7 linked regions of the Coturnix japonica genome follow. The protein of the gene in region 7 interacts with the protein of the main gene of each other region in a biochemical or structural test. Links are inferred from orthologs where the notes say so. Each region holds a gene or a part of one and is shown on either strand. Other genes may lie near its edges. The genes, in order: SNTA1, ERBIN, PDZK1, SLC9A3R2, MPP1, SLC9A3R1 and ABCC4.

Region 1 (4,028 bases), on a different chromosome or scaffold from region 7:
TCACGGACAGGATGGCATCTCCCACATACAGTGCCTCGGTCTGGTCTGCTGCCAGTCCCTTGAAGATCTTGGAGATGAGGATGGGCATCTTGTTCTCCCGGCCACCTGCGGGCAGAAGGGGCACCAAGCAGTGAGGGGACACTGAGCAATTAGGGGCACAGGGCTGCTCAGTGCCCACACAGTGCCCAAATACCTCAGAGCTTTATGGCAGACACATGTTAAGTGCTTCAAAAAACCATCCGAGTGGCTGCAGATTTCCTTGCTGAACAAACACACGCCCTGACCGCCTCCCCATCACTTCTGGCAGGAAACTGTGTCACTATTTGCATTATTAACTGTGTGTGCTGAGCAGCCTTCCCTGCTCTCAGGACCCCACGGTCTCAGTGGGGCAGCAGCTGAGTGCTGGAGAGGCAAAAGAGCCCCAGAGCAGCAGCTCAGCCGCAGGACTACCTGCTCCCCACTCCTCTCTGTCTCCATTCGGGCTGCTCCCCACTCTTCAGCCCACCAGGACACTCTCAAGGCCTCCGGGCAGCTCAAGGAGATCAATTTGCACTTTAAGTTCTGAACCTGTAGGAGATGCCAGCAGCCCCGCCTGGCGCTGCCCACGCTCAGCGCTGGGACAGCGTGTGCCGGGCACCCCCTCACTCCCCCCTACCCCCCTCCCACGGGCAGGGACCGGCAGCGTGACACCTCCCAGGGCTGCACCCGCTGTGCCGCCAGCATTGCTCCGCTCGGATTTCTGCAGAGCCTCTCCGGGAGCTGAGGGCTCCTCCGGCTATCAGCTGTCAAGAGGCCCCCGCGGGGGCTGCTGCTGGCTGCCGAGCCCAGCTTGGAAGCAACGCCTCGCAACCACCCATTCTGGGCTGTGTGCGTGGAGAGGGAACCACCGCCCGGAGCACCATGCGGTACACGACCCTGCAGGAGAAGGATCCTAACCCTAACCCTAACGATGCTAACCCTAACCCTGCAGGGCTGCATGAAGCACCAGAAACCCCAAGTGAAGTACTGTCTGGGGTTAGGATGCAGCTGAAATGCTTTAACCAGAAGGTCCATTTTAGATTCTGTCCCACGGGCCATGGACAGGAGCTGGCTGGCAGCGGGGTACCCGTCCCTCCATGCCCCCACCCCCTGCAGGGACAGCAAGGTTTGGCTGCGTTTAATGGCACATGGTCACCCCCCTGCAAAGCAGCAGAGGCACAAGGCAGCCCAAGTGCTGCCCGCCCGCCTGCAGCTCCCCGTTTGGATCACGGCTCCTTGGTTTCCACCTACGTCACTGCAAAAATAAAGTTTAGCTGAAGCAAGTAACGTTTCTCCTTTCCTGGGAGAGCCGCAGAGCCGGCAGCGCTTCGCAGCCCGGGGTTGGTTACAAGGGGGGATTGCACCTCCCAAAAGCGCTGCCGAGCTGCAGCACCCACAGCCCCAACAAGCGGTGAGGGCTCACCCCGGACCCCTCACGGGGACCCGCACCCGACACACCGCCCCACCCAGCAGCGCCCGGCAAGGAGCGCGGTGAAGGCTGAGCCCAATGCGGCCACGTCAGACAGCGGCAGCCCCCCGCACCCCCCCTCGCGAAGTTCCCGGCCCGAAGTTCCCGCAAAGTCCCCAGGACGGGGGTGGGGGCGGCGGGGGACACCGGGGGACACCCGACCGGGGCAGAGCGCTGCGTTTGGGGCGGCCAGGAGGGGACACCGCACCGGGGTCACGCAGGACGCAAGGACACGCGGGCGGAGCCCTCCGGTCGCAGCAGGGCAGCGTAGGTCCTACCTGCCGCCGCCGCCGCCCACTCCTGGTACTCCCCCCCCCTCACCTTTGATGCTGATGCCGAGCCCCCCCACGTCCTGTTTGACGACGCGCACCGTGCGCCTGATGTTGGCGAGCGCCTCGGGCACGCCGGAGCTCTGCTCCCCTCCGTTCAGCTGAGCCGGCGGAGGCTCCCCGGGCCCGGGGCCGTCGGCGGGGCTGACGCTCAGGGTGTCATCGCTCAGGGTGAGCAGGACGCGAAGCCACTGTCCGCCGGGACCGCGCAGCTCCAGCAGCCCGCTGCGCGCCCCTCGCCTGCCCGCCGCCATCTTCCGCGCATGCCGGGCCCGGCCCCGCCGCTCCGGCAGCTCCGCTCCGCGCTGCCCCGCGCACCGCCCGGCGGAGCAACGAGCCCCGCGCACCGCCCCCGGCCCGGCCCACGCCCGCCCCGTCGGGGCAGCGCCGCGCTGCGGGGCTCCGTGCCCGAGTATGGGACGGGGAGCGCCGGGAGGGGCATGGGGAGCTCTGCACACCCTCACTCGGACCCTCCCGGCTCCGGGCACCGCGGTGCGGTTGTGTCACAGGGGGACCCTGCGGGGCACGTCGGGGCGCAGCGGTGTCCGTGCCGAGAACCGGGTGCCACGAAAGCTTCGGGCGTGCTGCGGGGTACACGAGTAACTGCTGTCGTGGAAGCGAGCAGCGCTGTCAGGCAGAGCCAGAAGTGACTCGAAGCGAACTCTGGACTTATTAAGGAAAACTGCGATGATGAAAAGCAATGGCAGCTCTTGGGGGCGGTGGGGGGCAGCCTCAAGAGCTCTCCCACTGGCGTCCGACGACGTCGGTGCCCCAAAGATGGGTGCAGACAGCAGCAGGGAGGATTTTTGGAGGCATTCAGAACAGTCTTGCTTTTTTTCTTTCCTTTCCCTGTCCTGCTTCTTGAAAACAGGAACGGTGTTTGTTTCCTTTGGCAGATCCGCATTTCCTCCTGCAACCGAGTGGCAGCAATGAGGGATAAAAAATACCTCTGGGTACATCCCCTGTGCCCCTTCGGGCAGCTCCAGAGCCCTGGGGTGGGGCTGCAGGTCCCCAAGCCCCAGGCTCTGCAAACGCAGCCTTAAAGGAATTGAATCCCGTTCACGCACAAGGGGAGGTGGGGGGGGTATTGCAGAGCAGGGGGCTGCAGCCCTCCCCACCCCCACACGGAGGCAGCAGCGCTCCCCCCACGCAGAGGCAGCTGTGGAATTTCTTGAGATTGCGGCAGAGGAAACCCTGAAGGTTTTTCCCTTGCAAAGCACAGCTCAGATATTCCAGTTTTCAATCCAAATTCTGCAGTTCGATTGGAGTGACTTTTTGGGTTTGCCTAACAGTGATGCTCCCACGCCCATCACACCCCCCCCTCCCCCCCCCCAGTCCTCTGTGCATCCCACAGACCCTGAGCTGCTGTGCCCATAGCAGAGGGGGTTCAGTCCTTTTGCTGCCAGTTGGGGTCACTTTGCCCCTTGCCACTCGCAGTCTTTTTTCTTTCCAATGCTATTTCCAGCACAGGTGATTATTAAGGCTGTATTCTCATTGTAAGCCACGTCAGAAAGCAGAGACACTGCTCCCAGTGCCACAGGATGGCACCATCCAGGGATATGTGATATGTTTGCTTCCCCAGCCCTGGCAGCACTATGCAAAGCAGCAGTGGGAAGCAGAGCAGTGCCACACAGGGGGAAACCTTGTGCCATGCCACACTGCTGGGCAGCAAGGCCATGTGTGCAGCCCCACATCATGGCACAGAGGTGCTGCAGTGCCCGTGGGATGGTGATATCTTCACTGTGATTCTGTCACAAGGCTGAGCCCATCCCATCCTCCCCCTGCAGAACATCCCCGCTCCCGGACGTGGTGGGTGAGCTGCTATTATTAGCTTCAGCTCTTGGCACACACAGGAGCTGTGTCAAAGCCCACCCGTCTATTTATAGAGCGCTGTTAGCTGCGTGAATTTACATGAATCACTTCTGAAACAGAAGAAAAGCTCGTGTTTGGGTCTGAAGTGGCATCCCCAAGGCTGACAGCAGCACCTCAGGAGAGCATGGGGCAGCAGGTCCTGCCTTGCTGAAACAGATCAGAGGCTGCAAATGCACTGGAGAGGATGGGCAGGGAAATAAAAGAGATTCAGATGTGCACCATGTACTTAACCGAGTGATTCATCCCCTGGTATACAGGAAATGTAGTGAAATGGTGTTGTCTGCCCAAACTGTGCAGTCTCCGACTCCTCCAGTTGACTTTAAAATGTTTTGCTTTGGGAC
Region 2 (3,500 bases), on a different chromosome or scaffold from region 7:
TTAAGAGGGAAATCTCTACTACAAAGCAGGTAACTATTGCAGACTTCTTCACAGTGAGGGTACAGAACACTGGAATGGACTGCCCACAGGGGCTGCAGGGTTTCCTTCTTCACTGACATTCAAAACCCGCCTGGAGGCGTTCCTGTGTGACCTGGTCTAGGTGTTCCTGCTCCAGCAGGGGGATTAGGTCTACAAGATCTTTCAAGGTCTCTTCCAATCCCTGACATTCTGTGATTCTTAAGGCGACAAAGAGGTAAGCCCTGCTCTTTAATGTGGAGCATTAATGAGGAGAGAGAAGACTAAAAAGAATCAATGGCAATCTAGACATTTGGAAGTTTCAGTGAAGTCAGAAGATAGTATTACACCTAACCTTTACCCCCACATCTTTTACAGAAACTGTCTGGCTTTCTCGTTTTGATTCCTTGGCAACATCTTCAGTAGACTCTTCATCCTTTAGCCTGTGTACAATTGTCTGGACTGTTTTGACCATATTCTTCAGCTCATCAGGATATGGAGTTGGATATCTCTTCAGATTGCCTTCCTGTGTTATAAAAAAGTAATAATCTAATTTTAATTAAACGCTTTAATTAAAGTACCAAGCTTTAAAATAGACAATGGATTCAAACAAAACATTCAGACCAACACCTAGAATCTCCATTTTGCAGTTTGAGTCTACCTAGATTAACACAATTTTAGAAAACCCAGCAAAATTACAAATCAATTATTTTTGCTTCATATTTGTCTGTTGATAACAAGCAGGAAGAGTAATGACAACTATAATATATCTAAATAAAAATCAGAATTAACCATTATTTCTCAACTATCCCTCTCCTGAAGCAGCACCAGTCCAGCAATTTCATAATTATATGCTCCATTTTAATGATGAGGAAAAAAAAATAGTCCAGTTTTATGCTCGTAAGCTAATAAATGAAGTTTTGATTTCTTCATCAGAGCTAAACCCACAGTCAAAGGAATAAAAAGGATGGGAGTCAGGTGTGCAATTGGGAAAAAGAGAGAGAGAAAAACCATGGTAAAAAATAAATACTAACCCGAGGTGGTGCCTCTCTCTCATCTTTGTCTTCATCACACTCAAATGCCACCTGAGCACGTTGTTTCCTCTGTTCTTCCCACAAAGATGGATTGAAGCTTTCATTGTCAGATATAAACATAACTAGAGAAAAAAAAACAGGCACATTTAAGAACAGCATGCATTACACAAAACAAAGCTCCTCTTTTACTTCTTTTTCTTAGGTGGATTTTTTTGTTTTGTTTTGTTTTTTGTTTTTTAAATTTATGCTTGAAAAGGAAACAAATTAACAATGCTGTAAGCTGAAAAAGAAATCCTTACCATCCTCAGTCCTTGGTTGCTGGGGGAACATGTAATTTGTAAGCACAGTTTTCTGTGTGTCAGGGTCAGCTTCTTTTTGAAGGGGGATAAGTGGTTTAGACTAAGAAGGAAATCAAAGAAGGACACATTAAGAAAATATCTGTATGTACAAAGTAAAGATTATCTACACATAACTTATAGAATGCAAGGCAGAGCAGTCTTCAATCATTTACCCTCTGAATAATTTTCAGAGAATGAAGTTATTAATATATGTCAGTAAACGACTGTCTTGGGAATGGAAAGAACAACTTCAAGAGAATAAACTGAATATTTAAAAAAAAAGCAACTATTTTTGCTAGGACTTATTACTGTCTCAAACCAAGCTGTTCTGGGATGCACAGATATACTTTGTCATTTACACCTATGGACAGCCAAATAAATAAATAAATAAATAAAATATTTAATGTAAGTGTGTGTATATATATACACACACACACACACATATATAATGTGTGTGTGTGTGTATATATATATATACATATATATATTATATATATATTAAATATATATAAAATATTGATATCAGACTGATAACTCCCACTCCTTATAAATCTTCCACTATACCACACTTGAGATCCATGAATTTCTGGAATCCCTGTAAGCCTTAGTGCCATTCAGGAAATTGGTAGAGTACAAAGGAATTAAAGAAGGCACGAGCGCACAAGTTACTTCTCAATAACTTGAAACATGGACAGCCATGAAGTTCAAAGGTAAGGCAAGCAACCTACCACAAAAAAGGTTATCCAAATTTTCTATAATGGCAGAACGATACCATATGCGTGTAAGCACTAACAAATTATCAAATACCACCTTTCTGGTTTTAAGAAATAACAAATTAGAAATTCCAACATCTGCTAAATTGTATTTCATATAAAAGCTTTGCCAGAGAAGCTCTAAAGGATATTAAACCCAATATTGTTTATTTTGAGAGAATGGACAAAATGTCAAGGAAGTACTTATGCACATACAAAGCACTCAAAATTCAAAAGATCACATATTGATTCAATTAGGAATAAAGTCAACCATTTTTTATAATTTTTCTCCCAGAAAATTTCACCTGATTGTCCGATAGCCACATAGCAGTGAGCTGCTGCAGTTTTGTAAAGGTAAACGGCAAATTCTTCAGCCTGCAAATTACAATAAAAGTTCATGAAAACACACTTTTCAATACTACAACTTGACAGTAGAATGGCATTCTGTTTTTTAGATACGCATTCCTGCCTATTCCAGCAAGCAGCTTAAAAGACAGTGGAAACTGAATTTATCTCATGTCAACAACCTGAACACAATTTTTAAGACAGCCATTAGCACTGTATATAAATCAGCTACTGAACTTAAGATCAAGACTGTTTATTTTATTAGAAGAATCCTCAGCAATTTTATTGCTATACGTGTATATTCAATATACACGTGCACTAAAATTAAGAAAAATTAAGAAAAAAGGGTCACAACTAAAATTGTGGGGTTTTTTTGTTTTTGAATAAAATGTGAATAAAATCAGGCTTAGGGTAGAGTACAAAGGAACTGGATTTGTTTAAAAAAAAAAAAAAAAGGGAGGGGGGAGAATTTAAATTTATCTCTCCCAATACATTTGAATTCTGCAAATTGATGAATTCAAAAAGGCCTATTTTGCCAGTTTTTATTGACCAGCTTTAATTAAAAACATGTCCTTCCTCTTTCTTGCCCAGCACATGTGTTTTATCACATACTGTGACACTTCTGTTCTCTGTCCCCTACATGCAATACAGGAAGCTATTTACTTAAATCATCAAACATATGCCTAATTCAAAGGAACAGTTTCATAAAATCGATAAACAGTAAATGAAATACATGCATTTCAGTCAGATTATAAGCTGTGGGATATAACGAAAGGTAGCACAGCACGTTCAGAAAAATGCCGCTACTTACATCTGGGTGACAGATATCAGTTACACTGAAGTACACTCAATGCTATTGCATTTTACATGATTTTTACTTGAATTACCTATTGTCACTCAGGTTGATGACCTTCAATTTCTGCATGTCACCCATTTCTTCTGGGAGAAACTCAAGCTTATTTGAATGCAAAAACAATACCGTTACGTGCTTCCAATTTCCAATCTGCAAAAAAAAA
Region 3 (3,227 bases), about 49 Mb from region 7:
AGCATCACAGTTGTTTTTTGTCAGCTCAAAATATTTGTTTGCAGGTGAGCTAGAAAGTGGCTGGAATTTACTACCTGGAGTGAAGTTGAAAAGATACCACTAATACTCACTGTCCTTTTGAGCTGGAACTTAGCTGTGTCTTGCTGAACTTCAGCTTTGTTTTGTATGTAAACAGAACTAAGGCTTTGGATTCCTGTTTGCTGGAGTTCGGCATGAAGTCAAAGATAACAGCTATGCCTTGTTTACCTTACGTGTTATAAATGTGTTGACCTTATATACTATAAATCTGGTGTTCCCCTCAACCTGTATATTCTTTCACAGTAGCCTGTTTCCCCTTTCTGATGTCATTCAAGGCATAAAAGTATATTTTATTCATGTGACTTGAACTTGTAGCTTCCCATAGACACACTCCCAGGCTTTGTTTGCTACAAGGTTGTTCTGGAACATAAATCATAGGTGGTAAGGCTAGGACCTGGGGGAAAAAGAAATAACCACTGAAAACAATTTAATTCTGTATTGTCTTTGGTGTACAGGAAGGAGACAAAGCATACAATAGCAATATTGTATAGCCATTTATATCACATCTAAGACAATGTAGTGTTGACTTGGAATTAGACAAACCTGCATGATTGAATTACACTTCTAAACACTATGATCCACAGATGTAGGCAGAGGAGAGAAAACAGTGCTTAAAGGCTTTAGGTTTCGAGTTATGAATTATGAAGTTAACTTAATGTTTGAAAGAAATTTCTGCAGTGTAAGTAGAAGAAAGGAGTGTATTGCACAGAGTATATTAGTTTATGACATATCATAGTAATTGCACTGCCATAAATACAGCACAGATCATCACCTCCAGGATTGTTTTAATGGGTTTGTATTAGGAGAACTGCCTCTCCTGGGAGATGGTGAGAAATCAGTTGGTCTTTATTAAATGCTTACCCTTAAAAGGCTCAAATACATAGGAATTTATGAACTGTTTCCTCCCTTTGTTGCAATATACTTAACTATGTACCTCTAATTATTGAAGCCTTTATAGTAGTAAGTGGCTTACTCCCCACTTTACAAGGCAGAAAGCCTTGTACAGTGAATGAAGTACAATTGCAGTGTGTTAAGTAACTGCAGGATACCCTGAAGTGCTTATTTCAGGCAGCTGCATTTCAGCGTGACATCACAGTCCCTTACAGGTTTGATAGTCATGGGAATAGTCAAGTCCTGGAGTCGCAGTGCAAAGTGTGATTGAAGAAAGAGAATTTGGAAGGTTTCTTTTTTGTTCTCGGCATGGATGGTCTTCTCAGAACCTTGTGTCGTCGCTGCTGTCACTGTCTGCTCCTGCTGAGGCAGCTGATTGTGAAGAGGAAGATGAGCTTGCCTGCAGAGGAGTAACAAATACAATCTGGTTATTTTCAGTGTGTAAACATGCTAGTCTGCAGTGTTATGAAGGACTCATGCTTTAATCTGCCCTAATGATATACTTGTTTGGATGGCATAATGAGCCAGTAAATGTGACTTTTGTCACTGAAGTGCTTTCTCGTTAGCTACATTTTAGAGAGAAATTTGTTTAATAGAAGTTTCCTATTGTTTAATTCCCATATCTGGTGAACTTGCACACAAAAGCGGTGCTAATCTTCTGACACGACTTTTGAAAAAGCCTGGCAGCTGGATATTTGCAAATAGGGTCATGAAAAATAGGAAGGCAAGTTATTCTTTTTTGTTTATTTAAGGACTATTTCTTTGTGCTTAAAGGACAGTATTGCCTCATTGGGGATTGCAGTGTGTAGATTGCCTTGCTCCTGAAAGTCTCTGGTGTGTTCTTTCAGTAATTTGATTGTGCATTAAAGATATTCACCTGCGTTATGCCTGGGGAAAAAAAGAGTTATTTACAGTAATCACATCACAGCTTCCTTATTGATAACTTGGACTGACTTGTAAAAATTGAAGATCCTAAAGATCCTAGCTCAGTTACATGCTGCAGTTACAGGAAGTTCTTTTGTTATCTCCTCAGTGATCCCTCGGCATTTGTTTAATACAGTAATACTTACCCTTTCTCTTGGTTCAGGTGAGGTTCTCTCTGACTCTGCTATTGAGGTTTCTGTATAAGCAGGAGGTTCAGAAGTGTCATGGGATGGATCTGCCATAGAGTCTGTGATGGGAATGTTCTGGTCCTGGAAGTATTTGTAAGCATCTTTACTGCACACCAGTAGCGTTACTTTATCACCACTCTCTTTGATTCTTGCCACGACATTGTCATAGGGCTCATTCATCACGTTCACCCCATTCACTTCCACCAAAACATCATTATTTTCTACCCCGGCTATATCAGCTGGTCCGTGTTTTTGTACCTGCAAAGTCAAGTTCAAATGATGATATTAGCATAACGTTGAAAAGATGGATTAGCAACTGATGGTTCATTAGCTTGCCAAAATAAGCATGGTAGGGAGATTTTGGGGGCAGAATTGAACTGGGAGAGATAATAGGCCTGGATGGTGTAACTTAAATTTAACTTGACTACACTGATGTATTCTTTAGTGATGTGTGAAACCCCTCCCTTCAAGAAAACAAAAGGCACAGATGTAATTTGAGATAACAGAAGATTCACTCTTGCCAGCTGTGAAATTCTGAGAAGGGGAAGGGAAAGTTCTCTTAACATTTCCAGGGTACTCTATAGTTCAAAAATCTCTTCTTAAAATACTATTTTTTTTTACATTATAAATAAAACATGAGACAAAATTTGGATTTCCTTTCCTTTTAGATATCTAGTAGAATAAGAGGAATGTGGTTTTCTGCTGTTTAATATTGGTCCTACAATATCAGTCTGACTACTTCTGACAATTATAACTTATCTAAAACAGCTGGAGAAGAGATTTGTCTTTTCCTGTGCTTTTCCTTAAGTGCATTTACAGGTTGGAAGGGGGAAGGCTGCCCAACGTACTAGTCAAGCTTTTCATTGTTGATTATCTTACATTTAGTACCTCGTTAATGAATAGTCCAGGTTTGTTCTTGACCATGTTTAAACTGAAGCCAAATCCACTCGGCCCTTTTACCATCTTGCAGACTCTTGGCTTATGGTTCACTTTCTGCTCAGTGTGCAGCTCCACTCTTTCCTCTGTTTTTGCTGGAGCTGGGTCTTGCACTTTGTAGTAATATGAAAAGGGGGAAATTTGAGCCTGAAAGAACAATGACAGAGAAAACTTTAATATAAAACCTGTTGTGAAATCTGTAGGTTTCTT
Region 4 (3,500 bases), on a different chromosome or scaffold from region 7:
AGGGCACAGGACTGGGCCTGGATTCAGCATCACGCTTCCCAGCTGAGCATCACATCCCTTCTGCACTCCAGCTCCTCATTTCCAGGAGGATTCATGTTGGTAGGACCCAAAAATGCAACAAAAGAGCCCCAAAGCTCCATGCTGCATGTGCTGTTACCTCCACCAGGCGGTCCTGGGGCCGCAGACCTGCTCTGGATGCTGGTGAGTCAGGGTCAACCGAGCGGATGAACTGCCCTGGGCGGGACTTCTCACTGTGCAGGTTGAAGCCATAACCATTGGGACCTTTCTTCAGGTGGCAGAGGCGCGGACACAGCTCTTTCTGTCCATTTAAATCCTGATTTAAAAAAGAAAGATGATGGGGGGTGGTTACGCGGGGGGAGAGGATAAGATATTGTGTTTGATTTATCGGCTTGGTTTTGTTCTGAATCAGAATTAAGTTGAGAAGGAAGCAACATATCTGCACACCATCCCCTCCTTCCAGCTCAATGGGGACAGGTTAACAAATGGATTTCCTCTCATTGAGTTTATTTTAGAAAACTGATTGTCCAAAACCACTCCAGAGAAATTGAAACAACAACAACAAAAAATGCATTTCCTCAGCCAACAGCAGCCCAGACCCACCCACCCCCCCCCCCACCACCACCACCTTAACTCCCAGCACTGATTGATGTTAGCACCGTGCCTGGCTCCCAGTGACTCCAACACGGCTCAAGGCTTCATCCTCACCTTGCTACTCATCCCTCCCTGCAGGGATGTTCTGAGCAAGCTGGGTGATGCCCAGATCTGGAGCTGCATCTTTGGCCACTCTGGGGATGGCACCAGGGGATGGGCAGCCCTGTCCTGCAACCAGCTCAAAAATGATCATGCAGAACTGGGAGTACTGAGCCAACAGGGCAGAGAGGGATCATCTGTGTGCCCACCTGGAGCCATGTGGCACAGCTGCTCTGCAGTCACTTAGCAGTGAGCCTATGGAAACATTGATCTGGGCAGAGTGGGAAAGCCCTACAGAAGTCTTTGCAGAGAGGAAGCATCAACCCTGCACATGGTGCTGCCCAAGGTGCCCACAGCACGTCCAGGCTGAGCTCGCTGCAAATATTAGCAGAGCACGTGAGGGCTTTGGTGCTTCACCTCTATCACGTGCAAAATGTTTTATGGTTCCTTGGGGCTAACAGGAAGCAGCACACAGCAGGTTTTATCCCACTGCTGTTCTCGTGCACCAGGCACAGTGGCACAGCCATGTCCTGGGCAGGAGCTGCTAAGAAACAGAAGTGCCTTCGGGGCTTTTTTAGGGGGTCTATGGTTTAAGGAAAACATTTCCTGCAGCTGAGTTTTGAATCTGCATTGAAAGCAACACTGCTCCCACCTGCTATCAGACCTCAGGTATCTATCTATCAGTAGGACGATCTCTTACAACCTTACATTTAAAATAATAAAAACATGTGAGAATTTCCCCAATGTTCCCAACCAAAACAAAAAAAAATGCTGGTAATGAATCCCCATCCCCCAGCTAAAGGCAACTGGTAGAAGTGGATGGGGATCTCCTTTGGGTACTTCTACCCAAGAAACACACAGGGCTCCCTTTACCCCTATAAATCCACTCAGCAGTGACCCCTCCATGCTCATTTTCCCCAGAGGAAAAGCCCCCATACAGCACACACAGTGTGCAGTGCTCGGGGCTCACTGCAGGCTCAGCCCTGCGTTCCCATGCCCCCGCGCTGTGGGTTCACCCCATCTGCAAACACTTCCAGCTCTGCGACAGCCGAGGAAAACAGGAAATGATTCAATGCTGGAGCGGGCTCGGTGCGACCTCAAGGGATGCACAGGGCTGTAAGTGCTGGGAACAGGGGCTGCAGAAAGGAACACATCCAGAATCACCTAGTGGGGCTTAGAAATAACCTTTATGGGCCATTTTACTCCAGTTTTAAGCATTCACGGCTCCAGCAGTGGTTCCAAAGCACCAGTCACCAAATGAGCACAGTACCAACAAGCAGGACTTAAGGCTCTACCAGCATCATCCCTAAAATAAACTGCACAGAAACTGCTTGGGAGAGGACTTCTGCAGCAGCTTTGTGGGGTACCCAGCACTGTGCCCTGTGTGGGTATGCTCTGCTCCCACCACCACATCCTGAAGCCAAGATCCACCACTGAGATGATTCAAAATCGTTCTCGTTTCAGCCCCAGCATCAGCTCCAGAGCTCCCCAGAAAGACCTGTCTGAGTGCTGCCACTGCTCCCAGTGCTCCCAGCAGCGGCTGTCTTCAGCTTCTGGAACACATAGGGCTCCAACAAACTCCTCTGGGACTGAGCAAACCCTCTGCTCAGCCTCAAGCACATGATGAAGCCCTCTGCACCGATGCACTCTATTCCTCCTGCCAGCTCTGCTATTCATTCACTTCACAACCTGTGCCAACATTTCCCTGTCATGTGCTAGGAAGAAGTTTCCTGAGCTCCCAGGGGTGTTCTGCCTTTGGGGCACCCCAACCACACTCCTCCAGATCCCACCTGACCTCAAAGACCCACAGACACTCCATTCCTTCCCATAGCTGCACTCACACGCTGCAAAGCCAACAAAAAATGACCTTGTATTTCTCTCTTCGCACGCAATCAGCAATCTTCTTTGGGGGCATCCAGATGCTACAGCACCCACTGATCTCATACATGGGATTAAAAAGCCATGGATGTCACATTTGCCCTATATTGCTGCTCTGTGCACACACCCACTGGTACAGATGTGTCTGTGCAGATAAGAGCTGCACCAACACAAAGCTGCAGTGCCACAGCTCCAGGCACAACTCCACCATACCAGAAGGAAGCCGTGCATTAAAAAGGCACAAACAAGACATTAAGTAACAATGAAACACTTCCAATTAAAAAGGGGAAAATTAAATAAATAAATAAATCTGTTTAGACGTTGCCAGTTCTCATGATCTCATTGCAACACCTGAGGTTTCCAACACCACCATCCCCAAGTTTGGACCGGGGGCTGTGGGAGAAGCATCCCACCCTGCAACAAAGCCCATCTGCCCCCACGGAACTCCCAGAACTCATCATGTCTTCATGCAATGGGGCTCACCCTGCCGGGATGCTCAGAATTGAATACTGGTTTAGCATCACCCTCCAGCCACCCACACTTTGTAGGTGAACACTAAAGGCTAAAACCCCTTAAGAATCCACACTATAGGGGTTATCCCAGAAACACAGCATTGGATCCAGCATGGATGATGGATCCAGAATGAGGATGGAGCACACTTGTATCACTCCCCTGGAAAGGGACAAAAATGATGGAGCTCCTCAGTGCCAGGGGGCCTTAGCACAAGCCCCCAGCCTCATGACCACAAGCTCTTTTTATCTGATGCAGTCAAACCATCCACTGCTACAGGAGCTGGATACCCTCCAAGTGCAGATTTCCCCATGACACATCCAGCTTTTCCACCTCTCCTTCAGTGGAGTTGGAGAAAACACAGGCAGGATCACTCCTGCCTAATTTGCATTGCTCACATA
Region 5 (3,943 bases), on a different chromosome or scaffold from region 7:
GCCCACCATCTTCCTCTTCTGCAAGAGGCACAAGGGTGAGGAGAGGACACCAGGCCTCAGGGCCATGCGTGCCAGCAGGGAATGAGGTGAGAGGGAAGCAACCCTTGATGAGAACCCTGGGCAGGGTCAGTGTCACCCTCCTGGGTTGCTCCTGCTGCTGGGCTGGGCTGCACACCGCTGGGGGAACCATGGAATGACTTGGGTCAGAAGGTTGGAAATCAAACATTAACCCTCATTTAGAGGAGGGTGAAGCAGCACTTCAGGGAAGCAGCACCCTGGTGCAAAGGGCACACTTGGAGGCTTGCCTCCTGGGCTCTCCTTGCTCTCCTCACCAGGGGATGTCGGTATCAGGTGGTCTCATGAAGAGCACATGGAGAGCACATGCAGAAAGGTTTGCTGGTTGGGCCTTCAAAGCACAGCAGCACAGAGAGAGGCAGGAGGGCAGAGCAGCCCCAGCTATGGCAAACAGCAAAACTCCAGCTCCTTCCAGCACCATCACCTCTCATCTGGGCATAATCACTGTGGGTGTGCAGGCAAGGCCAGGACACGAGCCTTGGGCACGTCCCTGCCCTGGAGTGGCTCAACCTGGATCTGCTCTGCTTGGCGCTGGCTCAGCAGCTTCTCGACCTACCTGAGAGCATTACCACTGAGCAGCAAACGCATGCACTGGGGTGCCTAAAAAACACAGCAACAAACAAAAGCAGACTAGCAAATAAAAAACGCGAGGAGCAGTGGGCATGTGGTCATTTAGTAGTAATTCATTCTGGTTTGAGGCTGCTGCCCTTTCAGGTCAGCCTGGAGCAGACCTCACTCAAGACCTATTCCAGTAAAACCATCCATTTTAAAAAGAAAACAAACACTTAAATCAAACAAAATTATGCTACTGAAACTAGGAAAAGGCACAGCTACATCAACAGGTCACAGGGGATGGGGAACGGAGGAGCAGGAAGAACACAAGTGGCTGGGGGGGGGCAGAAGATGCTGCCCTCACTGCAGCTCACTGAGTGCTGTGATAGAGAAGGGCCACGTTCCCAAGCAGCCCCATCAGTTTTGCTGAGACACAGCTCTCCTAACATGGAAGGCCAATGCAGCCCTCCAGATGTGTTAATGAAACCTGCCACCTCCGAGGGACAGTCAGGAAATGGATGGGGCTTTGAGAAGCAGCACAGCCACTCCATTCCCTACCTTCTACGTGGCGTTTTCCCTGCAGCCACACAGCCCGGAACAGCACAAACTGCATTCATGAATTAAAGAGCCGAAGCCAGCCCTACACCCCCATCATTTATTTTGGTCAAACCCAGGAGGAGTTTTGCTCAGCTCCCAACCGCTATTTTCACCCACGGTCATTTCAGAAGAGGGACCACAGCTGGAAATGGCAGAGGTTTGATGCCATGTGATGCTGCCATGGGGTCACACGCCGTCCCCTCTGCACCCCCAGCTCTGAGCAGGGCCTTCCTTCCAACCAACAGACCCGCTGCCCATTTTACAGCTGGAGAACTGAGTCACAGCAGATTAGGTGCCATGCCCAAGGTCACCCTGCAAGCCAGCAGCACCGCTGGGTGCAAAGCCCACATCTCCCTGTCAAATCTCTATTTGCCATTAATAGATAAAGAAAAGCCAGGCAGGCACGTGGCTGAAGGGAAGAGGGCTGCAGCCTCCTGCACTTCTGCTTGTTTTCTAGCCATGACTCTGCCTTCCAGTCATGAGGGTTTGGGATCCCTGCTGTATCGAGAGCAGCAGGAAGAGGAACCTCTGTATGATTTGAGCTGAGAAGCAGCCAGCCTGACCCAGAGCCCTGAGAACTGCTGCCACGTCCCTGCCACCAGGAATCAGCACACACACACAGACACGCAACCCAGCTGGATGCCAGCCCTACACATCACCTCCTAACAGCTCCCATGCAAACCCCAGCTGGTCACCTTCCCCTATACCCCAACTGGAACAGGGGTATCGTGGTAGTGGGCAGCTGCAGGCCAGCTCCTGTGCTCTCCACACCGCACTGCTTGGGGGATTGATGTATCCCTGCTCCAGGCATGCACAGGGATGGATGCAGAGCTCCTCTCAGCAGCGCTTGCTCCAAATGCTTCTTCTATTTATTTTTTGCAGCACTCTGCCAGCGCTGAGCCATAAAAAGCACGCAAACAAACCACCAGCGCAGGCCAGACCGGACAAACATCCCTTGGATGCCCTGATGGGCTGAAAGCAGCACTGCTTGGTGGGAATCTCCCTCAGAGGCAGCAAGGAAACCCCTTCCCCCGGCAGACAGTACGGCTCAGCCACGGGCTGCTGCTCTGCCCTCCTCCCTTCACCCCAGCTGACAGCAGCGGGGAATGACCCCGTGCTGCCCGGCCCGGTGTTTCTGCCGCACTCCCGGACCCCTCCCGCTCCCAGCTCAGACCAGATACAACTTCGCAGCAAAACAAGCTCACGGGCAGGATGCTGAGCTCGCTCCCCGCCCCCAGCCCCGCTCAGCCGGTTCCCGGGCAGGCCGGGCTCTCCGCGGCATCGGTGCCGACCGGGGGGACGCGTGGCCTCGTCGTGTTCCCCGTGCGCTCGGGGCTCACCTCGGGCTTGGCCCGGTTCTGCAGCAGGTGCTCCAGGTAGAGGTCGGACAGCGCTGTCCTCATGCTGCCGCTTCCACCGCCGCCTCCGCGGCCCGATTTGAGCGTCATCCCCCCGGCCCAGCGCGCCGCCAGCAGCCGCAGCCGGTTCCGTTGGCTCCAGCAGAGCGGCCCGGCCCCGCCGCACCAGTCCGGCTCCAGCAGCGCCCCGGGTGCCGCACGCTCCGCCCGGCACGGGGCGGGACGAGCACGGGCTGGAGGCGCCGCCACGGGCGGGGCAACGGGGCCGTGCAGGGCCGCGGCGGCAGGCCGGGATTGGGAATGGGCCGCCCACAGCGCGGGGGCGTTGGGGCTGCTGGTCTGACCTGCTTGGCCGCCCCGAGAGGCGCTGGGCTGTGGGTTCTGCCCCGGGTGACTCGTTATCAGCTTACCAAACAGGGGGTCACCCAAAAGCGCGGTGCTGTCCTTTGCCTCCTGTACTTAACAATTACACCTTCCCCCTGCTCCTCCTACCACATACATAACGTGTGGTTCGTGTGCCCTGCTGGCCAAGAGGGCCGATGGGGTCCTGGGGTGCATTAGCCTGCTTTGCAGGGGGGGTTGGACTCAATGAGCTCTAGAGATCCAGCCCCTACAGTTCTGTGATTCAGTGATACAATGATGACACCCTAACAAAGCATCAAACACTGCTGCCATCCCAGCTGCACCACCAACCTCCCTCCCACCCCTCGCCATACAACTCGCTATGAAGCCCACTGAACCTCTCGCGTTCTGGCTATAACTCAGACAGCAGAGCCTCAAGTGAAGTCTGAACTTCATTTTGGGGGTGTGAAATTCCATCTGAGAGAATCCTGAAAATCATCTGAAAGGAAGAGAAAGGTGGTTCTGCTCCAGGCCCTTCCACACCGCTTCGGGGTCCCTGGAGTTTTGGAGGCTTCTTGGAGCTGTGCTCCATCAAGGCACCAGAATTTCTTCCAGCATAGCCACTCTGCCTCTCTCAGAGCTCCCCAGCTCACCTCAATCCATTGCTACCCTACAAAACACAAAGAGCACAGGGTGCACCTCCTCCCTGCTGCCTTGTGCTGGGACAGTGGGCACTGCAGAGCTGCAACCCAGCAAACACAGCTCCTTTAGAATGGGAGCAGCGGGGGGTGTGCAACGTGCACACACGTACGTGAGGCAGCAGAGCAGCAGCAGGAGCAGCACAGTGATGGGGAAGACGTACAGGACAGCGATGGGGAAGTTCTCATAGAAGTGAGACCACGTGTCACCCAGGTAGTCCACCAGCCAGGACCGACGGGTGCCTGAGAAGAGACGTGTCTTTGTGAGGAAGGGAGCAGAGAAACACCAGTGATACCAATGCATTTTTTTCCCTGGATTTG
Region 6 (4,229 bases), on a different chromosome or scaffold from region 7:
TGGCTGCAGGAGCAGCTCCAAGCAGGGCACACAGTGCCTGGTGTCGGAGGGACCCCAGCCTGCACAGCACAGGAGCAGCAAAACGCCCGGGGTGCCCACAGCTCCCAGCGCAGTAACAGCACCCAATGAGCAGCATCTGCAGCCCCAGCTCACAGGAAGCTCCTGCAGCCCCGTGAGCAGCAACAAGCTGCAGGCAGCTCCCAGCAGCCGGCAGAAACACGGGCTGCGAGGACAGCCAGGCCAGCACATTCACACGGGTCCTGAAATCTGGCACACGCGCCGGGGCCCCATACAAAGGGGATGCAAAGCAGCCTCTTGCAGCATCCCTGTCACGTAGGGCCAGGCTGGAGCTGCTTTTCATGCAGCCCACTCCTGCTCCCGAGCACAGTTGGCTCTAGAAGTAATTTAATACATTTCTCAGTTCAGCTCTCCCTGCACAATGCACCCAGCTGCACTCACCACACCCCAACCTGCACCCGGGGGCTCAGATGGGTTTTGCAGGGGAGAGCAAGCGCTGCATTCAGCATCTGAGCACTGTGAGCACTGGGCACAGCTGGCGCTGGGCAGCAGGAGCAGTGCTGCAGTGAAAGCCCGGCACGAGGAGCTGTATCAAAGCACTGCCGTGCAGCTGAAGCCTCCGGAAACACGGTGTGGGGCGGGGGGCCACCACCCACAGACAAACACCGGGGACAGTCCCATGTGGTGCAAAGCCCCAGCAGGGCTCAAGTTGTGTTCTGCCACCTGGGGCCACCCCCAGGACCCTAAAGCCATGCCCGCTGTGGGTGGGTGCACTCACGGGCGTCCTGAAGCCCATCATGTCCCCTGGGGTGGCATCCAGCTGTGGCAATGCTCCCTGCTAAGGGGGACCGTGTCCTGGCCGAGGTGTTAAGCGCTCGGAGCAGCACAGAGCAGCACAGAGCAGGAAGGCTGACAGCCGGCCGCTGGCAACACGCGTCTCCAAGCCTGCATGCAAATAAAGGCCAGCCCTGCCCCACAAAGCAAACAGGACTCTGACACACACGGACTCGCCGCGCTCCTGCCGGCACCGATCCCGGGAGAATCCCCACCACGGGGCGGCCGGGCACGGCCCGGGGGCACAACCCGCCCCGCTCGGTGGCTCCGCTCCCAGCGCCGTCCTGCGGCTCCTCCGGGTTCCCCAGGCTGGGAACCGGCCCCAGCCCCGCGGCTTCCGGCGACCTGTTGTGAAACCACCGGGCTGCACCGAGATCAGCCCGTGTCAGCAGCGTCACCGACTTCCTGCTCCCACACCGACAGGAGCTGTCAGCGGTAACCGCACGGAACCGTCCCACCCCCGCACGGAGCTGCGCACCGAGGCGTGCAGGGCAGGGCGCTCCCCGGCCCCATCAGCCGCGTCCCAATGAATCCTTCCAGCTCACGGAGCAGAGGGCGCAGCACAGAAGGACTCGGTGGCCGGGGGGGACGCGAGCACTGCGCCATATGTTGGATGCCGTGGGAGCACAGCCTGCTCGTTCCCACGCAGCGTGTCCTGCCCTGAGACTCCAGCTGGGGCGACGTGCACCCTGCGGCCACCAGAGCCCACGGGCGGCCCGTGGGAGCTTTAGACAAAGGGAAGAGTCAGCGCTGGGTGACAGCAGCACCTCGCCCTGCAGGACAACAGCTCGGCACCGCGGGCGGGTTGCAGGAGCGGAGCGCAGCTCTGTGTCACGGCCTCCCAGGAAGCGCCTCGGTCGCAACAACAAATACTTGTTTTCACCGAGCAAACAAAAAGCGGCTTTATCCGCGGCAGCCCCGAGCGTCCCTTAGAAACTGCTGCGGGCAGGAAAGGTCAGCGGGTCTCCATTCCTCACCCCTCTGCAGCGCCCTGTTTGTGCAACCGCTGACTCCTACGTGCTTCGGACATTCTGAAACCCGAAGGGCTCCGCGTTCCCCATCCCCGCGGCGCGGCTGAAGCCGGGCAGTTCAGGGCAAGAGCGGCCGGCGCAGCACGACGCCTCCCCTCGCCAAATCCTATTTGCATTTCAGAGGCAGTTAACGCCAAAAGCCTCGGGGCGACCCGGCACCTGCTCTGTTCTCTTCTTTGGAGGTGACGACGCAGCGCTGGGGGCTGGAAGTGAGAACTCCCGGAGCGAGCAGAGCAAACAACAGCAAAACCCAAAGCAAAGGACACACGGCGGCAGGAGGCCGGGCCGGGCCGGGCAGCCCCCCGTGCTCACGCGTCGCCATCAAGCTCCCCCCGCCCCCCCCTCGCCACACGCCTGACCCCGTTTCGCTCCTGCGGCACAAGGACGGAGCGGGGGGGGCGCGACCCGACGGGCCGAGACCTGAGCGAGGAGCGAAGCCCCGGGGGCACCGGGCCGGCCCTACGTGCGCCAGATGCCGCCCGCCCCGCCCCGCCCCGCACTCACTGTGTCTCCGTGGCCGCCCCGCTCCGCCGGGGGCTCCCGCTGCTCGCGGCCGTCGGTGTCGCCGTGTGTCCCGGGCGGCTCCTCGCGCAGCGGCTGCACCACGAGCAGCCGAACAGCCCCGGCCGCGGCCCGGATCCGCTCCACCACCTGCTGGTGACTCTCCCGCTCCACGTTCGTCCCGTCCACCTCCAGCAGCCGGTCCCCGGCGCGCAGCCCCGAGCGCTCGGCCGGCGACCCCGCCTCCACCTTGCGGATGAACTGGCCCGCTTTGCCCTTCTCGCCGTGCAGGTGGAAGCCGTACCCGTCGGGGCCCTTCTCCATGCAGCACAGCCGCGGCGCGGCGGGTCCCGGCGGAGCGGAGCTCATGGCGGCCGAACTACGACCCGCGACTCAACGCTCTGCGCCCGCCCGCCACCGGCGGCGGCTTTTATACCGCGGGGCGGGGCTGGAGGCGGAGCCGGCCAATCAGAGAGGGAGGGGGCGGGCTCAGGACGGCGATAAGGCGGAATTATGCAAATAACGACCGGTTATGCAAATAAGGGAGTGGGCGGGGTTATGCAAATGTAGCCCCGAGGGCGCGGGCAGCGGAACCGCAACGCGACGGAGCGACCCACCGGGACCCAACGGGACACACCGGGACACACCGGGACCCACCGGGACCCAACGGGACCCAACGGGACCCAACGGGACCACCCGGATCACACAGCATCACACAGCATCATCACACAGCATCGCCATTCAGAGCCGGTTACGGGGGCTACGAAACGCCCCGGGATGGGAGATCAGCGCGGGTGGGAAGGCAGAGCGGGAGGGGATGGGGGGGGTGGTGCCCTTTGGGGAGCGCTCCTCTCGTTCAGGAAACGAGCCCCGGCCCCGGTAGCGGCGGTTGTAGCGCGGGGCTGCGATAAGAAACGAGCCCAGAGCGACAGGAAACACGGAGCTGCTGCTGCGGCCCGTCCCGACAACAGCTGCGACCCACAGAGCGGACGGGTCCTGGGGGGTCTGTACAGCCCCGCACAGCCCCGTACAGCTCCGTACAGCTCCGTACAGCTCCGTACAGCCCCGCACAGCTCCGTACAGCTCCGTACAGCTCCGCACAGCTCCTGCAGCGCCGGCACAGCCCGGCTGAGGGTGGGAAGCAGCGCGGAGCCAAGAGCCGCTTGTGCTGAATGTCCGGCATTTTTCGCAGCCATGAGCCGAGAGGCGGCAGCTGATGCCATTGGTGGGAAGCCGGAGTTATTTGGGGAATGCTGGACTCCGCACCATGAGAACAGCAGGGGAGGAGGTTGGTTTTAATTTAACAGGCCGTGTTTATTCTTCCCCTCTCACCTTTGGACTGTCTGAAATGTGCGGCCCGAGCGCTGGGAGTTGGAGGGGGCTGCGGGCTCTTCCCCCGCTGCGTGCCCCACATCCCATTCCCCGCCGTGCTGTACGGCCGCCCACGTGGAGGGCCCGGGGCAGGGATTTCTCACACAGAGAAAAACAGGCAGATGCAAAGCCTTGAAAATATCCAGCTTTAATCTGTGCACTTGCAAAGAGGGACCCGAGGGGGGCGCGGGGGTGAAGGGGGCTCTGGGAAAGGGGGGTCCTCGTGGGGATGGATGTGACCAATTGACCCCAAGTGCATCAGAGTGGTGCCCTCTGCAGCTGCCCTTGGCATCTGGAGCAGCACACCCAGATATTCCCCGTCTCCCTGCCCCGTACAGCACAGTGCCCGGGGTGTGATGCCATGGGCCACTTCAGCCCCATCCACAGCCCAAGTGATGGGTTTGTCTGGAACGACTGGGAAGAAAAAAGCTTTTCCCTCAAAGGGAAGTAAATAACAATAGAAAAGCTTCCAAT
Region 7 (4,061 bases):
CCCCCAGCAGAAAAAGAGATGTGAAATGAGCCAGTCTGAGATTCACAAAGCATAAAGTCTAAAGCATTTTAAACTCAAAATGCTTTCCATACTGAACAGATGTTTGAACATCAAAAACACTGAATGAAACTGTCTTTCAGGGCCCTCCTACAAAGAAAGCAAATCCTCCTATCAATCCTTCAAAGCCCTCATTCCCACCAGCGAGCTGAGCCAGCAACAGAACAAATCTCATAAATGAAATACATCAGAAATATATCTGAGTGCTGCTAACTGTGTAACTATCAGACAGATGAGAAGTTTGGTAAGCATGGAAACTCGCCACTCTGGAGGTCAGTAGATAAAGCAGTAACTGCGACATCCAAAACAACAATTTGGGCTTTGATAACTTTACAGTAACATAGATAATTCAGTGAGAGCTATGGAAAACAGGAGTATTTTGCAGCCACTTCCATCTTAGTAATCTTGTCATAAATAGTTCATTCACATAACATCCAGCCTAGAATTACAGAAGGGATGCACTATAAAAGAACAACATTCACACACAATCTAGATGCTCCTCTTTCCCATGAATGTATTGCTGGAGAGTTTAATGTTCATCAAGCTCGTACTTGTCAAAGTCACAACCCCAAAAGCAAGAAGACAAGCTTTGAACAATGGGAGAAGAATGTCTTCAGCCTACACACTCATTACCCTAGTTTTATAATTCAGTGAAAACACGACTTCTTTTCTTTCCCTGGGAGTTTGATCTTGTTTCCGCAAGGCAGAATAATTTCAGCTTTTCTTCTGCACTACTGGCAACAAAAGAGGAGGGCGGTTTCTTGCAATGGCAAAACTGCACTTTAAGAACAAAAAAATGGAAAGAAGGAGAAAAAAAAGGACACAGCAACCTGCTGTGCCCTACCTTCTATCCTCAACGATAACACCTGGCACTCAGAGCAGAGCAAAGCGGGCACACTCCTGCAACCACATGACTGCAGCTCCCAGGACCGCCTCCTCCAGCACCGCTTTTCCAGTTCTCCAGCTGGAGAACTCTCAGAGCATCCCGCATGAAGAAGCAGCAGCAGTTAAAACGAAGCAGTGCCACAGCAGTGCTCTCACGGCAGGCTGATAGATGCTGTACGCTTTGTAGGAAAAAAGGGATGTTTCTAAAGGTGGCCCTTAAAATCAATTTATAGCTAAAGGGTGTTTAAATACTTCATGGTTTTACGTAAAGCCATACAAACTTGTAGAAAAGTGGAACCCCCTACTACTTCATTTAAACCACTGTATAATTGCCACTCATTTCAGTGGCAATTTTCACTAAGAAAATAGTAATGCTTTCTGACATGCAAATAACAAGGATATGTTCAGGTGGGTTTTTTAAATTTGTTTTTTCCTTTGATAATCACATGCTGCCCATGCAAGAAAAGAGGCTTTAGAAGACTGAACCCATTGCTGAGAAGTAGTCTGGAGGCCTCACAAGCAGCATATGGGGCAATTTCTCCCATTTGTTCATAACAGGTGTTTTGTTTTTTTTTTTCTTTGCTTCCAGGTTTCCTAGCAATGCTGTGTCCAACATGGGCATTCCTGGTGTTAAAACCTTACACAAGTATACACCCCATATGCCCACTAATTAGTCACAGAATTGTAGGGGTTGGAAGGGACCTCTAGAGATCGAGTCCAACCCCCCTAACAAAGCAGGTTCCCTACACCAGGTGAATGTCAGGACTTATAAAAACCCTCTACCTTCAAATAGGGATTCCTGCACCTGCTCAGCATGGCTTTCAGGATCAGAGAATATTACTTGTGTCGCAGAACTGAGTGTTATGCTCTCACCCTCCTCTCCTACACGTGCTGTGGGCTCAGAGAACTGCCTGCTGTCTTCCAAAGGGATCTGCCCTGACAGACGAGTTGGTGCTCTTCCATTTCACCTTGAGTGTCCTTTCCTAGCGCCTTTCAAAGCAATAAAACTGTCGGGAAGTAACTCGTCGCTGCTATATTACACGTGCTATGTCGAGGTCCCCGCTAACACGAGCTCCGCCTTTGCCGCAGGGGCCATCCGGGCGAGCCGGCAGCACCCCATCTTCACTCGGCCACACCTGAGGCCTTCAGCCGGCCGCCCCCTTCTCCATCGAACTCCGCACAGCGCTCAGTTCCAGACGCTGCCCGAGGGATGGAAGGAAAGCCCCGCGCCGTTAAAGACAGCGGCGGAAGATGCCGGCCCGCGGCCCGTTACGTGCCGGGAGGGGCGGCGCGGAGCCGGGAGCCGAGGAGCAGCCGCAGCTCGCTGCCCGCCGGCCCCGCGGCACCCCACGTGCGGCGGCACAGCCAAGGGGCCGCGCCCGCTGCGTGAGGGCGGCGGTGCTCGCGGGAGGCCCCGGGGCCGCGGCCGGCAGGCGGCTTCCCCCCGGGCGGCACTACCGCCCGCTGCCGCCTTCACCTCGGATGACCCCGCTCCGCCACGGCCGCCCCCGCTGAAACCACCTGCGCTCGGGGTCCGCCCGAGCCGCCCCCTCCGCTCCGAGCCTAGTGGCGGCCGGGCGGACCCATCCCTCCCCGAGCCGCGTGGCCGGGGCTCAGCATCTCCCCGTGTCGGCCGCGTGCCCGGCGCTCACCAGAAGAAGAGCCGGGAGCAGAGGTTGGCATCCCGCAGCGGGTTGGGTTTCTCCTCGCGGGGTACCGCTTCCATGCCGCCCGCCGCTCTGCGCCGCCCCGCGTCGCTCCAGCCCGCCGGCGGCACCGCACCACTCCGGGCGACTTCCCACCGCGGCAGCCGCCGCCGCTGTGCCGCCGGTCGGTGCTGTTTCCGGGACAGCCGGCACTCCCGCCCCGGCCCTCCTCCAGCCCGCCCCGCAGGACGCCTCCTGCCGGCACGGCTCCCCGCGTGCAGGCCGCGGCCCGGAGCTACCGGCGGGAGCGGGCTGAGAGGGACCCAGGTGTGGAGCCCTCAGTACAAAAAAGACATGGAGATTATGGAAAGGGTCCAGAGGAGGGCCACGAAGATGATCAGGGGGCTGGAGCACCTCCCCCATGAGGACAGGCTGAGGGAGTTGGGTTTGTTCAGCCTGGAGAAGAGAAGGTTGCGGGGTGACCTCATTGCAGCCTTTCAATACGATATCAAATACAATAAGAAGGGAACTTACTCCCAGGAGGGGAGTAAACTCTTCGAAAGGGCTGACAATAGCAGGACACGGGGAAATGGTTTTAAGTTAAAAGAGGGAAGATTTAGGTTGGATGTTAGGGGGAAGTTCTTCACTAAGAGAGTGGTTAGGCCCTGGAACAGGCTGCCCAGGGAGGTTGTGGATGCCCCGTCCTTGGAGGTGTTCAAGACCAGGTTGGACGGGGCCCTGGGCAACCTGATCTAGTAAATATGTATGTTTGGTGGCCCTGCCAGGCAGGGGGGTTGGAACTACATGATCCTTGAGGTCCCTTCCAACCCGGCTCATTCTGTGATTCTGTGACCGCCGTGCCCTGCCGGGCAGCTCTTGGTTCCACAGCCTGGGCCCGGCTCCGCTCACGTCTGTCAGCCGTGGGTGACCCCTGTATGCCCCACAAGGCTCGAAGAAAGGCTTGAAGCCGGCTGTAGTTTGTATTGTGTTTCCGAGATGAGGGGTTAGCCACATTTGTCAGGCTGCAGCGGGGTGGTTGCCATCTCTGACACTGCTTGTGCTGTCTGCACTGGTCAGTGTGTGCTTATTAAATTGCTGCTGGTGAAATGATTTGCTGTCCTCACAGTGCTGGTGGATCTATGGGAGGCAAAAGGACACGTGGGCCAGGAGCAAAGCCACCTGAATCGCGGGATCAGAGATTCATTACAGTTGGAGAAGACCACTAAGATCATTTAGTCCAGCTGTCAAACCATCACCATCGTGCCCGCTAACCCTGTCCCTCAGTGCAACACCTACATGTCACCTCCAGGGACTGTGACTCAGCACTTTTTTAGAGATGAACTTTTTCCTAGTACCCAACCTCAATCTCCCCTGGCACAATTTCAGGCCATTCCCTCTTATCACTGTAACCTGGCTGACCTCCATCTCACCACAGCCTCCCTTCAGGTAGTTGTAGAGAGCAATGAAGTCTTC

Evidence for each region.
Region 1: the proteins of ABCC4 (region 7) and SNTA1 form a complex in vitro, tested with the Homo sapiens proteins (2 studies listed by BioGRID and IntAct, with this or other methods). The link is inferred for Coturnix japonica from reciprocal best matches to the Homo sapiens genes ABCC4 and SNTA1.
Region 2: the proteins of ABCC4 (region 7) and ERBIN interact in a test that uses a peptide from one of them, tested with the Homo sapiens proteins (2 studies listed by BioGRID and IntAct). The link is inferred for Coturnix japonica from reciprocal best matches to the Homo sapiens genes ABCC4 and ERBIN.
Region 3: the proteins of ABCC4 (region 7) and PDZK1 form a complex in vitro, tested with the Homo sapiens proteins (2 studies listed by BioGRID and IntAct, with this or other methods). The link is inferred for Coturnix japonica from reciprocal best matches to the Homo sapiens genes ABCC4 and PDZK1.
Region 4: the proteins of ABCC4 (region 7) and SLC9A3R2 form a complex in vitro, tested with the Homo sapiens proteins (2 studies listed by BioGRID and IntAct, with this or other methods). The link is inferred for Coturnix japonica from reciprocal best matches to the Homo sapiens genes ABCC4 and NHERF2.
Region 5: the proteins of ABCC4 (region 7) and MPP1 form a complex in vitro, tested with the Homo sapiens proteins (2 studies listed by BioGRID and IntAct, with this or other methods). The link is inferred for Coturnix japonica from reciprocal best matches to the Homo sapiens genes ABCC4 and MPP1.
Region 6: the proteins of ABCC4 (region 7) and SLC9A3R1 form a complex in vitro, tested with the Homo sapiens proteins (3 studies listed by BioGRID and IntAct, with this or other methods). The link is inferred for Coturnix japonica from reciprocal best matches to the Homo sapiens genes ABCC4 and NHERF1.

Annotation. Positions count from the first base shown.
Region 1 is NC_029535.1:2,063,256-2,067,283, reverse strand, and holds the start of SNTA1 (alpha-1-syntrophin), read right to left. Parts: upstream 2,801-4,028; 5' UTR 2,070-2,800; coding exon 1,808-2,069; intron 106-1,807; coding exon 1-105. UniProt on the Homo sapiens protein: Adapter protein that binds to and probably organizes the subcellular localization of a variety of membrane proteins. May link various receptors to the actin cytoskeleton and the extracellular matrix via the dystrophin glycoprotein complex.
Region 2 is NC_029547.1:14,171,919-14,175,418, forward strand, and holds part of ERBIN (erbin), read right to left. Parts: intron 3,488-3,500; coding exon 3,372-3,487; intron 2,515-3,371; coding exon 2,445-2,514; intron 1,449-2,444; coding exon 1,349-1,448; intron 1,172-1,348; coding exon 1,050-1,171; intron 542-1,049; coding exon 371-541; intron 1-370. UniProt on the Homo sapiens protein: Acts as an adapter for the receptor ERBB2, in epithelia. By binding the unphosphorylated 'Tyr-1248' of receptor ERBB2, it may contribute to stabilize this unphosphorylated state.
Region 3 is NC_029516.1:83,000,284-83,003,510, forward strand, and holds the end of PDZK1 (Na(+)/H(+) exchange regulatory cofactor NHE-RF3), read right to left. Parts: intron 3,165-3,227; coding exon 2,961-3,164; intron 2,340-2,960; coding exon 2,040-2,339; intron 1,370-2,039; coding exon 1,292-1,369; 3' UTR 501-1,291; downstream 1-500. UniProt on the Homo sapiens protein: A scaffold protein that connects plasma membrane proteins and regulatory components, regulating their surface expression in epithelial cells apical domains.
Region 4 is NC_029529.1:6,206,138-6,209,637, reverse strand, and holds part of SLC9A3R2 (Na(+)/H(+) exchange regulatory cofactor NHE-RF2), read right to left. Parts: intron 335-3,500; coding exon 158-334; intron 1-157.
Region 5 is NC_029519.1:2,088,369-2,092,311, forward strand, and holds the start of MPP1 (55 kDa erythrocyte membrane protein), read right to left. Parts: upstream 2,801-3,943; 5' UTR 2,673-2,800; coding exon 2,565-2,672; intron 1-2,564. UniProt on the Homo sapiens protein: Essential regulator of neutrophil polarity. Regulates neutrophil polarization by regulating AKT1 phosphorylation through a mechanism that is independent of PIK3CG activity.
Region 6 is NC_029533.1:9,145,246-9,149,474, reverse strand, and holds the start of SLC9A3R1 (Na(+)/H(+) exchange regulatory cofactor NHE-RF1), read right to left. Parts: upstream 2,801-4,229; 5' UTR 2,754-2,800; coding exon 2,388-2,753; intron 1-2,387. UniProt on the Homo sapiens protein: Scaffold protein that connects plasma membrane proteins with members of the ezrin/moesin/radixin family and thereby helps to link them to the actin cytoskeleton and to regulate their surface expression. Necessary for recycling of internalized ADRB2.
Region 7 is NC_029516.1:131,509,672-131,513,732, reverse strand, and holds the start of ABCC4 (multidrug resistance-associated protein 4), read right to left. Parts: upstream 2,801-4,061; 5' UTR 2,669-2,800; coding exon 2,595-2,668; intron 1-2,594. UniProt on the Homo sapiens protein: ATP-dependent transporter of the ATP-binding cassette (ABC) family that actively extrudes physiological compounds and xenobiotics from cells.